2 linked regions of the Arabidopsis thaliana genome follow. The protein of the gene in region 1 interacts with the protein of each later gene in a pairwise test. Each region holds a gene or a part of one and is shown in the gene's direction. Other genes may lie near its edges.

The links. Proteins that work in one complex are often made in the same cells at the same time.
Region 2: the proteins of AT2G24400 (region 1) and AT4G27280 interact in a two-hybrid assay, tested with the Arabidopsis thaliana proteins (one large-scale study listed by BioGRID).

What each region holds. Positions count from the first base shown.
Region 1 is NC_003071.7:10,374,990-10,382,842, reverse strand, and holds AT2G24400 (SAUR-like auxin-responsive protein family), read left to right. Parts: upstream 1-4,197; 5' UTR 4,198-4,313; coding exon 4,314-4,850; 3' UTR 4,851-5,887; downstream 5,888-7,853. Other genes in the region: AT2G24420 (DNA repair ATPase-like protein), read right to left, coding at 219-297, 433-494, 582-662, 773-928, 1,021-1,176, 1,252-1,314, 1,396-1,458, 1,540-1,650 and 5 more; AT2G24410 (SMAD/FHA domain protein), read left to right, coding at 3,436-3,672; AT2G24395 (chaperone protein dnaJ-like protein), read right to left, coding at 6,762-6,848, 6,955-7,092, 7,173-7,346.
Region 2 is NC_003075.7:13,660,832-13,668,063, reverse strand, and holds AT4G27280 (Calcium-binding EF-hand family protein), read left to right. Parts: upstream 1-3,442; 5' UTR 3,443-3,901; coding exon 3,902-4,294; 3' UTR 4,295-4,649; downstream 4,650-7,232. Other genes in the region: AT4G27290 (S-locus lectin protein kinase family protein), read right to left, coding at 12-169, 267-404, 499-1,783; AT4G27270 (Quinone reductase family protein), read left to right, coding at 4,821-4,843, 5,169-5,262, 6,025-6,287, 6,369-6,606. UniProt on the Arabidopsis thaliana protein: Potential calcium sensor that binds calcium in vitro.

The sequences.
Region 1 (7,853 bases):
ATGCATTGAGGATTCGGAAACTGGCATATTAATCACATATCAACATCAGACAGACTCATTTCTATGGAAAGTAAGTTCTGGCTTGGCCTATCTATCTATCCAGTAACCTCAAATTCTTTGTTCGTGACCCGTTCTGCAACGTGTATTTAAGCAGAAAGTGAGATGTACCTCTAATATTTATAGCACGAGGAAGTGATAACAACACAAAGCATGTGACTTCATTTGTCAGAATGACCCCTTCTGGCCTTACGGCGAGTATGTTGATGAGACTGTCGGATAGGCTTCTTCGTCTTTGTGCTGCAATAAACATACAACAAACAAACGAAAGGTCATTTGGTGGAATCAAGGATGGAGCATCTTTAAGAACTACAGAGCAATATACTGAAAACTAATTTAAATCTTATAAATAATGATTCGTTATAAGAAACTTGCCAGAAGAGCGAACAGAGGAATTTGTACACTATGAAGATGGGTAAGGCCAACAAAGCAGAGGCCTACAGTGAACAGTTTATCAATTTTAAGCTGATAAAGGAAGCAACAAAAAAGCATGTTGTCTTAGAGTGCAAGACGAGAGAACATACTGCAAACCAAATGAACTCTTTGGTGGCAAAAGGTTCCAACAGCTCATGGCTCTTCAGTTTACTTTCGACATTGGCTTGAAGCTTCACATATATACAGAGTTATCAGATTAAAAGACAACACATTCCTCTAGAAATGACACTACTCATAACTATAATGCCTATAAATTATACACAGTGCCTCCGATTCTAACCTGGTGGTGATAAGTTGAGGCAGATTCCAGGAACTCTTTGTAATAGTGGACAGTCTTCGTTGTGTAAGGCTTCATGGTAGCTCTCACCTTATCAACATGTGGTTTTGTGGCTGTGGCCACTTGATCAACGTACGGCTTGCTAAACTTTTTAGCCTCCTGGAGAGCATAAACAAAACAAATTAAGCGCATATTGTCATCATCGATGGAGCTGAAAGATTAATATCTAGATAGAAAAAAATATACTTCACCTGGTAATAGGGATCTACATGTTCTTGAAACTTGACAATATGTGGTGTAACCGCACTCTTGGAAGCATGGTAAGCCTCTTTCGCTTTGGTAGATAGTGTTTGAACGTGTGGCTCAACATGCGTTTTAACAGTCTCTTTTATGGCTGGAATATATTTCTGGAAATAGAATTTCGTAAGCATAACCATAAGAGCCTCCTGAGTAATAACACACATTGCCTGTAAGTTACTTACAGTTTTAACATTAGCCATGTGCGGTTTAGCCCATTTTTCAGCTTGATTTTTTGCTAACGTCACCTAAAAGATGATCAAACTTAGTTAGGCATAAGTTTGCTCTCAGAGTCATGTAATCAACATACAATTTGGATTTAACAATACCTTTTGAGTAACTTTCTCCATAACTGGTTTGCCGTGGGCGTCCCAGTGTGTCCCAGCAACAGTCTGAGTCCAGGAAGTGTCCAAGTTAATTGAGAAAATCTATGATGCAAGAAAGTCGTAAAAGATAAAATCTATTAATCTCACCTGAAAACTACTCCAGTGTACAGCAAACCAAGGGGGAAGCCACGCCCCATGAACCTCCATCAGTTCCTTAGCCTTTGTGGTGGCTTCATGCTTTGTCCGCAACATTTCTTCCTATAATTTTATTTTGATAAGAGTCGAGAGTGATTGCAGAAACCGAAAGTTAAGGGGGAACTAAACTTAATCCAAGAGCGTCGTCATACCTCAGAAATTTTAAGAGCACGCTCAAGTTTTCGTATTTTGTTCTTCTGCTCTTCATTTGTCTTGTGAAGCTGCAGGAATAGATTGTGAAAATTTGCATAATGAACATACTTTCTACTTTCTATTTAAATGATTTGAAATGAATAATAATGTGTGTCAAGAGAAAATGAACCAAGAGATGTATAATGAACATACTTTCTCCACTCTCGAGTTCAATTCGTTTAGCTTCTTCTCGGTTTCACTAGTCTGAGCTTCTATCAATTCTTTCTCCTTGTTTTTCTGCTCCAGAAATTTCTTAAGTACCTCAACCTGAATTCACAAGTATAATGTAGAATTTAGAAACTTACGTGCATATAAAAGATGGGTTCTCAAATAATGAACTCACCTGCTTCTCTAATTCAGTAGCTCGTGCTTGAGCTTTACTCAACAGTTCCACAGAATCTGATGAACCTTTTTTCTGGAAACAAAGATTGATATATAAAGGCAATCTATATCTGAACATGGAAGCAATTTCAGTGAGACACTAAAAGATGCATGCATACCCTTAGTGAAGAAACCTCAGTCTCCAAAGAAGCAACTTTGTCTTGTCTCTCTTGAAGAAGTTTCTCCTTCTCTGTTACTAACTCTTCTCTGCCTTTAAGTTCCTTGGTTTTATCATCAATCTGAGATTCTTCACCAACCAAAAAAGAAGAAAACAAAAATTAATTTGAGAAATTCACACAAGCCATAGCAAATTTTCACGATTGACATAGAAGTAAAATTGAAGTAACTGTAAAGTTCTGAGTGTAACCTAGGGCACGGATTTTAGCATTAAGCTGATCCAATTCGATATCACCGCCGTCGGATCTAAGTTTCGGTTCATCGCCGCCGTCGATTCCAGCGTCGGCAAAGATACAAGTGGTGAAATTGAAAACCAAGGCGAGAAGAAGTAACAACGCCACGAGTTTCGCGGCCGCCATGTCTGAAACTTCCGTGGAACAAAATAAGAAAGATGATCTCGCCGGAGATTTGCCAACAAGAAGATTTTTCGTTCTCTTCTCCGAATTTATGAATTTGTTTTGTTTGATCAAATTGGGACACTGTTTTTTTTTTTTTTTTATGATTGGAGAAGACGACAAGGTTTTTTGGTTGTGGTTTCGTGATTGACACGTGTCGAACAATTTAGGATATCGGAAGAAAGAAAACTTACTCCTAAAGGTAAATAAAGGCACTGCGATACCATTTTTATTAAATTATCTGAATGATACTTTTTGTAAGAAAAAATCATTAAACAATCTGTGAGTATTAGAATTCTATGAAAAAATGTAATGTTAAAAAAAGAAAGAAACAAATGAGAGATCGAAAATAGACTATCTCTATTACAAATATTGGTCATTCGTTATAGTTGTCGAGGAAAGATATCATATCAGAGTAACCGGAAGCGAAAACTCCAAATATATCACTAATTACGATCATGCATTCAATTGCTTAAAGTAAGGAGTCAACTTCCGCATGAAACGGTGAAAGACATCTTCTCAAACTCTTGAGACCTATATGGAAGATACTATCTTGATCGATTAGGACCCATCCATGTCTGCTTAGATTATCCTCCAAGTGCCAGGAGACATCAATCTGACATTCAGAGATTCGGAGGAAGGGTGTTGGCTAAGTACCGGACGAGAGAGAGAATCTCGATAGCTGCTACTTCATTCATGTTTGATGATTGAAAAACATGGTGTGCGATGTTTTGAGCTATCGAGGAAACTTGCTGAAGAAACCAACATATACAAAGGTATCACACTCCTCTTCAATAATCCCGTAGATAATAGAAAACCCAAAGAAAGATGGAGACTTTATCATTTTAAGGATGGTGAACCACTGAAAGAGACACTTTGCATTCATTACCAAATTTGCTACCTCTTTGGACGTGAGAGAAAGATCCGACATTCCTACTAATCACACATTTTGTAGCAAGCAACATGCTGTTATTCAGTACCGGGAGGTGGAAAAAGAGAAAGAGCCATATGGTATGATGGGAAAGAAGCAAGTGAGGCCTTACATATTATGGATCTTAGTAGTACCTATAAGACTTACATCAATGAAAGTCTGATGGAGACACAACGGTACTATGAGCTTTTTGAGAAAGATACCATAAGATTTGGCAACAGCAGCCGAGAGCACGAGAATGCTGCCGAGTGAATGAAATCAGAGTCAGAAAGCAACAAGTATATCTCAATATTAATTACATAGTTGCGTTTTACAGGGATTTAAGCGATGCTTGAGCCAGCTTTGCCTGTCTGATTTTGGTGACAAAATTTGAGGTTATGTTAAATATCATTTTCTAAGTTCAAGCTGCTTAATTTTGCTTGTCAACAAATTCAAGTTGGTTTAAATCATTAAAAAAAACCAAAGCATATGATTAGCACAATATTTTAAGCAGAAACAAAACTAATTAAATCAGAATTCCGTGGTCACCACCTCTATATATCCCCGATTCTCAATATTCACCACGTCCTAATCACTACACACATAGAAAGAGACAGACGCTAGACAAAACATAGTACCAAACTTCTTGTCTTTTGTCTTCTATCTCCACCATGGAAGCCAAGAAGTCAAACAAGATCAGAGAGATCGTTAAGCTTCAACAGCTTCTCAAGAAATGGCGAAAACAAGCAATTGCATCAAAAGCAGCCAACAACAACAACGAAGACAACAATAGCAGTGGCGGGGGAAGCAAGAGCATCAAGTTTCTGAAGAGGACACTGTCATTTACAGATGTAACAGCTGTGCCTAAAGGGTATCTAGCTGTTTCGGTCGGGTTAGAGAAGAAGAGGTACACAATACCAACCGAGTACCTCAGCCATCAAGCTTTCTATGTTCTTCTGCGTGAGGCAGAAGAAGAGTTCGGGTTTCAACAAGCCGGTGTCTTGAGGATTCCTTGTGAAGTTTCTGTTTTTGAGAGCATATTGAAGATAATGGAGGAGAAGAACGAAGGGTACCTGGTGACGCCAATAACAGCTAAGCAGGAATGTAAGTTCAATGCAGCAGCAGATGATAAGACGAGTTACCAGCATCCATCAGACTGTCCTAAGACTCCTTCACACCAACCTCACAACAGCCCAATGTGCAGATAGTTTTGTTCATTGCTTGCTTCTGCATCTTCTTTTTCCTCCTCTTGTGCTAATTTGAGCCATTCTGCTTATTCCCACTTTTTCTCTAGGAATATGGATTTGTGTGCTTTAAAATTTCTTAATTCTGAGTAAGGGGAGAGATTTCTAAATAGTGGAATGTACAAACAGATCATTGAAACCGTGATGTGGACCTCTGTTCCTGGAGACTCTTTATTCTTTCTCTGCACTGATTTCAATTTTTGTTGCACTACCTCTGACTGATGAAAACTTAAAACGGCTCTTTGATATTTCTCTGCTCTGGTGGAATTTCTCACAAGAACCCACCAGCCCATTGATCTAACCATCTATTCCTGATGACAAATGCAGTAGACTCGTGGTACAATAAAAAATCAAATACTGAATAAGTGAATCAAGCAAAAACACTATCTGAACTTTTACACAAATTTTCATAGATCCTTTGTAATCCAGTCGTCTGCATTTGCAGCACAAGTCAGTAGAAACATATCACGTAGGCAAGATAATTTATGGTAACCGAAGATTTTATTAGTTTGGAATACTATAGAAGTTGATCTATAACCTCAGCAGATAGACCCTTATGCAACTAGAGGTATAATGAGTCATACGAATTAAACATTTGCACTTTGTCGTTTAACTCTAAGCAGAAATCAAGCTCATAATAAGCCAAAATGCTACGCCTATTAAGAAATAAGAAGAGAGAGAGAGAGAACAAAAAAAGAATAGAAAGAATGGTTCATGTTTCTATTTGGGCAGTTTGCGTTCTTTCCGGAACAACCATGTGAATGGAAGTTGCAGAGTTATGTTAAAGTAATCAGAGGTTTAAAATAATATGATAATGTAAGGATAACAATAATTACGGAATGGTACTTTTAATCACCAAGTGGAATGTTGTTTTTAAACTATTCAAAGGCAAAAGTACGGTATCCTAAGCTTCTCTTACAAAAACTAAAGCTAAAATACGGATGCTTAGTAATATAATAAGCTAATAGCAGAGTCACAGAAAAATTCTTACATAAACTAACTAGCTACATTATTGTGATCACATGCATATACGTTCATCTCAAAAGAGTACGGCAATATCAAAAGGACTGACTTTACAATCCCCTAAACCAAACAGGATTCAAGAAAGGAAGAGTAAGATGTTCATAAAATCACATTACATGTTAGTTCTCTGCCAAAATGATTAATGAGAGTCAAAAGTCAAAACAGAAAACATAGAGATCTGATAAAACGGAAAACACCACATGACATCTGTACCTTGAGATTTAACACCATCTAGAACGAATCGCCTAATACATGTGCACTTATCTCCTGAACCTTATATCGAGAATAATGAATTGCAGGTTTCTATAAACTTAAAGACAGCATGATCCAGCAGAAGATTAACAAGAACAAACCATATGCCTTGGAATCATAAAAACAGTTGGGAGTGTACGACATTGACTCAATAGTTTTCTGCTCTAAAGATGGGTGTCGAGGTTATACGTTAAACGACAAGGAAATCCCATTTTTTAAGAATAATCAATGAAATAGATTTAAATATCTACATGAGAATGAGACACATTACAGACAAAAATCAACCAGGAAAGGTTAGAAAGAAGCCAATGCAATGACTAGTCTGATTAATGTTACAATGTGCTTATTACACATATGAATAAAGACAATACATATAACAATATACAATCAGGAAAGCTTCACACATGAACATAGAGATCAGTAAAGAAGCCAATGCAATCACTATTCACTAGTCTGATTAATGTTACAATGTGCATATACATATGGCTACATATGAGTAAAGACAATATATATATATAACAATTGGAAAAAGAAAGGAACCTGAAAACTCAAATGGTGTCCTTAGTTGGAGAAGAAGAGTGTTGCTAGAACAAGGAGCTCTTAGAACAAAAGTTCATCGCCGTCTTCTGAGTTAGGAAATGTGACACACTTGAACACTTTACATTTTCTACACAACACAAATCCCACCTATAATCACATCATTCAAGTTCCCAGATTTAGATAACCAATCCAAAGTTTCACAGATACATTACTTAGCAACAGTTTAACCTAATCGAAATTTACGAAAACTCACAGCTTTACAAGTTGGACATCGTCGATAGATTCGATTATTCTCAGATTTCACATTTGTTTTCTGTCCTTTACAGAAATCGCAGAGCAACCATCCTTTCCCGTTACAATCCTCACACAAAATCACAGCATTGTCGTCTCCCTTCACGAAAAATCCTCAATCAATTGTCAGATCCGATTTCAACTTCATCGATTTTTAATGTCCAAATTTTTGTTTGGTACCTGCTGCGACTGATCGAGCTGAGGCTCTTGTTCTTGAAGTGGAACGCATCGAAATGGCTTAAAGAGACGACGTTGTTTTCGACGCGACGTGGATGAAGCCGGCGACGGCGCTGATGATGGCATCAGCCGTAAATAACATGAAATTGGAGGCTGTAACGTTATCCAAGTCGCCATTTTTTTTTTGCTCTTTCCTGAATTCCTCAATCCAACTTCCGTGGCGGTTAATTCACACAAAGTCCGTCCGCTACAGTAACTAGTGGGCTGATAATGGATCGTAGGAAGGCCCATTAATTTCGATTATTGCTGGTATTAGTAGGGACCAGTACAGTACCCACACAGGCTATGGACAGCTCAACAGCAACTAAGTGGCGGATACACAAATGACAAATCTGTGGAATTAAAAATCCGGGACTTGGTCCATAGTTTCTCAAGGTTTGGGAGGTCCAGCCCAAAGTTTAAATTCTATTAAGTCTATTTGGTATACTTTGCAGGGTCTTTGTTTTGAAGCTTTGGTTGCCACTCGCTTTCACTATGCTTCAGTTAATAATCTATCTTCTGTACTAAGATAGAAGCACATTGTCTACAACATATGACCTTCCCTAGCTAATAAAACTTGATGCTATCTACAACACATTTGTTGTCCACTTTTTGCTTTATAATTTCCAATAACATCTTGATTTG
Region 2 (7,232 bases), on another chromosome or scaffold:
TTTTTTGTTACCTTATAAACAGGTCCAAAACCACCTTGTCCAAGTTTGTTCCCAGCAGAGAATCCACTTGTAGCTTCTGAGACCGTGTCAAGATCAAGAAATGGTAATTCAAGATCTTCTTCCTCTTGTTTCCTGCTTGAAACACGGGATGATTCGCGCTGCAAAGTTTCTGAATAAAACAACGGGTTTAATAAACTTATAGAGCACAATAGAAAAACAAGAGATACTTAATTTCTGAGAGCTATTCAACTACAATGATCATTTACCTTTTGTTGCAAGTTTCTTTTTTTTCATGTTGAAGACAGTCAAACCAATGCAAAGACAAAAAAGAAACAGAGCAGTAGATAATACTATTATGAGTATCATCCTTATCTTTCCCTTCACGTAATGGATATTGTACTCATCTGTGATCGAAACGGAACAAAAAAGAATATTCAAGATTTATAAATCATTCTATAGTAAAACAATGTTTATTGTTTCACAAGTCTTAAACCTTACCTATCTCAGAAGAAGCAAGCCTCACATACAGATCTTGTCCGTTTTCATTATACTCTCTTATATCAATCAAATCTCCGAACCAGAGAATACATCCTTTTCCGCCATCTCTAATGTCGAAAGGCGAATAAGCCGAGCATGTACAGTTTCTCAAGCATACCTTTTTGCATTCATTCAAATCCATGTTCTTATCATACCACGATGTTCTTGTATCTGGTAACTTCAACTTTGAAATCTTCAGAAAGCCGTCCTCTCCTTTACCACAATCCAGTTTCACTCTCCTAACACACCCTTCGGACCAATCCCCTGCAACCCAAGCCTGTGGAGTTTTAGCAACAAACCCTTTTAAACACCTACAAGCGGGAGATTCATTGATGTTGCAGCTTCCGTAAGAGCCACACAACGTGTATTGATCACAACTATCCATCATAGCCGATAAATAGAAGTTCCAACTTTGAAGGTTATCGACCCAAGTGTAACGTTGCAAAGCTCCATTCGGATTCAGCTGCATTCTTGTCAGCACTGAAGGGTTTTCAAGCTTGTAAGTGTAGTAAACTTCTTCCTCCGTGAAGACATACTCATACCGATAGATAGGGTTAGGTTTTAGGTTTGGCATACCGGTGAATCTTAGACCGTTCCATGGACCAGTCCTGAAGACAACAACCGAGTTTTTCTTCAGGAAAAACTGCGGAACACCGTTTGGATCCATTTTATTCGTGTAGTTACCAGTTGATGGATCGTCTATTGCTCTCCAAGATGTCAAGAACCGGTTTAAACCGGTTACAAAATTAAGACCATATTTCATTCCTGGAAGAAACATATCTCCTGGGTAATCTAAACTCTGCCATATGTAATCCTGATCATCCCCTGAGTTTCTCACAACTAAATTACCTGTATCAAGAATCTGAACAATTGGGTTTCTTAGGCTGGCTTTCTGGGAAGATGGTGAGGATGATGATGACCAGATGATGTGATTCCGGTCATTGAAGAGGCATAAGCTCCCATTTTCAGATACTTTTAGGGTTCCTGAGAGATCGTAGAGAGGAGAGTCTCTGTTAGCAACCCAAACAACGGTCTGGAGAGAGATTTTCTTGTACCAAATTCCGAGATAACGATTTCTTGATCCTCCTGGAGAGAAAAAACCAACCTCGAAGCTCCCACCTTGCGAAACAATGGTGTCTCCATCTTTTAGAGTCTGGTTTGCTATGAGGATATCAGTTGCTTGTGCCAAAAGAATCGTCGAAAACAGAGAGATGATAAGCAGATGAAGCACATTAGTGGCTTCCATGGCCGGTTCTGTGGAACCAGAGAGCGTGGAAACGAAGTTGGTATATAAACAATGATGATAGTCAGTTATTTTATTTGTTTAATTACTGGAAATATAGAGAAAATTGTTTAAGTTAGGTTCCATGGAATATAGTTTAATATGTGTAAATGAGAGAGACATGGAAGAGAATTGTAATGAGTTGCTGTCCAGTATCTTGCGTCGTGATATTATTTGCTCTTAATGTCAACCACAACGTGCCTAGAGATTATATATTTGTAGTTTTATACGTGTTTTATAGGACAAATGGTGGAATGATTCAATGGAGATGCAAAGTTACTTGTCAATTGGAACTAAATAATGCAATTTAACTAAGATATAAAGAAAACATCAAACAAAGTTTAGTGGGGAGCTTCTCAATCTAAAGAAAGTAAGCTCAGAAAGACAGAAACCATTGAATATTCAAAACAAAAAAACAATCCACAGCTTAGCATTTTGTTGACCGACTCATATAAAACTAAAATGTTGCGACGGGCTTTCTCGACCAGACTTAGTTAAAATCCGCCACGATCAGTGTTGCTGATTCAGCATGTGGGCCGGCCCATGGTTATCTGTTAGTAAAGCTTCCACGTAATCTAAGAAAACAAAAAATGAGCCGCATGGATTAAGAAGATAATGTACACTTTCAAATATATGATGAATTATTTTCAATTTTGTGACAATAAAATAGGTTATTATCAATTCTGAGACAGTTTAAATGTTACGATACCTTTTATCTGTATCTTAGATAAACATGATTCAACAGATTTAATATTTCAATAGCAAATTTTATTTATGAGAGGTTTTAATAAGAGCACAATGGTTTGTCAGCATTAAGAAGACAAGCTCATTAAGAGGCAAGAGTAAGACCAAAGATATCATTAGCCAGGAATCATGATTTAATGTTCGTTCTTTGAACTTGACTCTTTTTTTTTTTTTAATGCATTGAATAAGCATTATTGAACTGCGATTTTCGGTTAAATAGTACATGAATCATGAAATAATGACAATGGTTATCCAATAAGCAAGATTTTGGTTTGATTATATATAAATTAAAATAGAGACATGCAATTAGAGAACGGGCAGACCAAGTAGTAGAATATTATGTCGCTGCATTTAGTTTTGCTGACGATGTCTTTGAATAAGGGACACCAACATTTGATTTAATCAAATACCATGCATAGAAATGTCACATACCAAGTTATAGTAAATGTTAGTCAAACCTTTGATATTTCGTTTGTTTGAAGTTGCAACTTGCATGCAAGTCATAACTCGAAAGTCTTTTTTTTTTGTTTTTTTGGGCACAACTAAGTCGAAAGTCTAGAAAACTGAATGTCATGGATAAGTTGATGCATTCCACAGCTATTTAATTTTTCAAAACTAACTGAGATAAAAACATATTTTTGAAGCAAGTTATAACAAAACTTAAACTAATTACACATTTCGTGAACTTTGACAAAAGTAATTTGTAGTAGTAAATATCATTAAACATACCCATCTCCAAAAATCGAAATAGTAACTACAATCTATACTAAAAAAAACTGTGTGATCAGGCAAAACCAGTATTTGAATAATTCCAGAGTAATTTTAAGTCGAGCCGACCTTAATCTTTAAAGAAAAAGAAAGAAACATATTTTCGATAATCAATCAAATAAACAAACTCAAGTCACTTGCCGATGAAAGTGGTGGAAATTTCCCATAAATAAACAAAGGAACAAACAAACAACTCCTCCATTTCCATTACTTTACTCTTTCTATTTCTTAATATAAACGGACGATTTTACCCTCCATCTCTCGCCGTTTTCACACTATGAGCTTTCCACATCCCTTTACGAAGTGACGATATTACCCCTAAAAGCGACCTTCCTCGAAGAAACCACATACCAACAATCTGAGAGATTAATCGCAATTTCCCAGACACGGGACCTTCCCTCATTAATCTTAGCTGGCTTCCATGGATGTTCCTTCTCAGAAATCCCAATTTCTCTTCCTTTATATTCTCATTCACTCCTCATTCTCCTCCTCAAATCAATAACAACGATAAAAAAACAAACCTTCCTTAACCAGAACCAAATTTCAGATTTTTAAACAACATAAGCTCTAATGGCGTCACCAAAGTCACCCACAAGACCAACCCAACAAAACCCACAACCCAATTTCCACGATTTTCTTCCTACCATGGCCGGAAACCTAGGCGGTGAAGGTCTGATCGGAGAGCTATGCAACGGCTTCGAGCTTTTGATGGACAGAGAGAAAGGTGTCATCACGTTCGAGAGTCTCCGACGTAACGCTGCGGCGGTTCTGGGTTTAGGAGATTTGACTGATGAAGATGTCCGGTGTATGATTAAAGAAGGTGATTTTGACTGCGACGGTGCGTTGAATCAGATGGAGTTTTGTGTGTTGATGTTTAGGCTTAGCCCTGATTTGATGGAAGCGTCGCGGTGTCTCGTCACGGAGGTCATTGAGGAGGAGTTTGGCTTCACGCGCCGGCATTGACACTGGAGAGATTTGGGATCCCTTCCTCTTTTATTTAATTCGATTCATTTGTTACCTTTTTCTTAATTTTTCCATTAATGTTACCATTCACATAATTCTTTTAATCATAGTACTTGATACTATTTTTACACTTCAGTTTATATCTTTGATCAGATGTGTTGAACATATATAAAATAAAGAAAAAAATTCATAAACTAGACTGGTGATGACTGTATCACAATATCGATTTGTAGCACACACAAAAAAATCATCATCCTTAAGCACTATCAATGATGTGTTGATTATAATGCTTAATCTTTCCATGAATAAAAGGAGATATGTTAATTAGGAGCTATCTAGTCAAGCTTTTACAATTAAGGTGGTTTACTGGATCAAAAATAAGTTAAGGGGCAGAAATATAAATTAATAAGTTTTGGGTCGTTGACTAAAAATTCTCGAAGAGCTAGCTATAACAACAATTTGGAGCTAGATTTTCTGCGAAAACAAAAATCAGAAAAGCTTTCAGAGGATCGAGCGCACTTCTTCAATGGCGACCAAAGTTTACATAGTGTATGTGAAAATTATCTTCTGTCGTAATGTTTTCTTTCTCTGCTCGAACACTTATTGCAAATGCGCGATCATCGATCGATCTCACTGATTGAAAAATCAGCTTTGATTAACTCAAATGACTCGATTTCATTGTCGCTGATCTCAAAGTCGCAGTGTTGTATACTTGTTCACTGTGAATCGATGATTTTCGCTGTGGTTTAATATAATTGTCATTTGTAATTAGAATCATGGATTTGTGTTGCTTTGCCTTAATTTTGTGATGGGTTTGGATTTTAATGTGGAGATGCAGTGAGTGGTGCCATTGACAATTTGGTGAGTGTAATAGGTACTACTCAATGTATGGTCATGTGGAGAAATTAGCTCAAGAGATTAGGAAAGGTGCTGCTTCTGTTGATGGTGTTGAAGCCATACTCTGGCAGGTCAGTGCTTGGTTTACTGCTCTTTATTGAGCTTTCTTACTCATTGTCAATTTTCATCAGCACATCTGATTCTAGGATACAATGAGAGACAGTTTCAAGTGACTAGATTTCTTTGAAAATTTAGGTGTTGAAGTTAAAAACTTGTTCTTGTATCTGAAAGATAGGGAATTACATTTCTAGAGTTTTCTGTTTTACTGGAATATCTTTTAGCTGCCACCATTCTTATGCTATTTTAGTGATTCAACACTACTGACGGATGATGACTACTTATTATAGGCTAGAACTTTTGGAACCAATGAGAGACATTTATCTTAACCTGCATTGTCTTTTCGGCGTATCCTATTGTCTTATCTGCGTTGAACAATGTGTGCTTCACTGAGTTTATTTTGCTAAGACGAATGTTTGTTTGACTCTCTACTCCCTGAAAGAAAGAAGAAATACGCTCTTAATTTTGATTTACTATACATTGTAGCTGCCAACATTCTTGACAGTATTCGATGTCTCGAGCTCCTTTATTTTGACTAGTCACTACAAGTTATTTCCTTTGTGTTCAGAACCAAAACAAAACTATAGTATCCTATTGGCATATTTTACCATAACCTCTACTTTTAATGTATATAGTGTTGCTTTCCCTTAGTTTATTTACACAAAAGGGCATGTTCCTTTATTCTGCATCTATTTTCTGCCGTCAGTGTTTCTGATCATAAGTTACCTGTAAAGAATCATTGGAAGAAGTATTGAGCTAGCGTTTGTTCTTGACAGGTACCCGAAACGCTCCAAGAAGATGTGCTCTCTAAAATGAGTGCACCACCAAAGAGTGATGCTCCTATTATCACCCCAAACGAGCTCGCTGAGGCTGATGGATTTATCTTCGGCTTCCCAACGAGGTTTGGTATGATGGCTGCTCAGTTCAAGGCATTTTTAGATGCGACCGGCGGCCTTTGGAGGACTCAGCAACTCGCCGGTAAACCAGCCGGAATCTTCTACAGCACAGGGTCCCAAGGTGGTGGTCAAGAAACCACCGCGTAAGTTTCTTTTCACAATCCAAACAGCATTCATCAAAGTGACCACTTGCTATATTGTTGACAAAACGGATTTATGTGTAGATTAACTGCCATTACTCAGCTGGTTCATCACGGGATGATCTTTGTCCCGATTGGCTACACATTTGGTGCCGGAATGTTTGAGATGGAAAATGTGAAAGGTGGAAGCCCGTACGGGGCGGGAACATTTGCCGGAGATGGGTCGAGACAGCCAACGGAACTGGAGTTGGGGCAAGCATTTCACCAAGGGAAGTACATTGCCGCCATAAGTAAGAAGCTCAAGGGACCTGCTGCTGCTTAGAGCTCTCTCAATAAGATAATATTTTGATTCTTTGTTGGCATTTTGTGATTTTTTTTGCTTTGGAATTATGCAACACTGATTGAGTTACTTCAGCTCACAGCAATAACATAACTTTGCCTTGGTTTGTAAGTTGTAACTGTCCCACTTCTGACTTGGGTTAAAGAGAAACTCACATAGTCACATGTACTAACATTGTTGCCCACTAAACTCTTTCGACGGTAGTTTAAAGTGGCCCACTAAGGCCCATCACTTGAAAAGTTAGCCCAATAAATTCATTTATCCGAGTTGAAATATCCAGAACTGGACTAAATCGGACCGGCTTCAAAGAAGTATCACAGAAAAAATTTACTGAAGAACTAAACTATCCGTTTAAAAGTTTACACTATGAGAATCTGAATTTCACAGAAAAAAAATCAGTGATAACAAAAAGAAATTGTATATATTTCACTTATAACGCCTGTTTTAATTTAACCATTATGCCTTTAACTATCCAAACTCCAGAGGAATAAACAACTTTAGCTATTACATTATTACTAGACTAAAAGATTAAATTGAATTTTTGTGGATTGGTCATATATATAAGATAAGGAGAAATGGAGGGGACCAAAATTGTCTTATAACTTAGA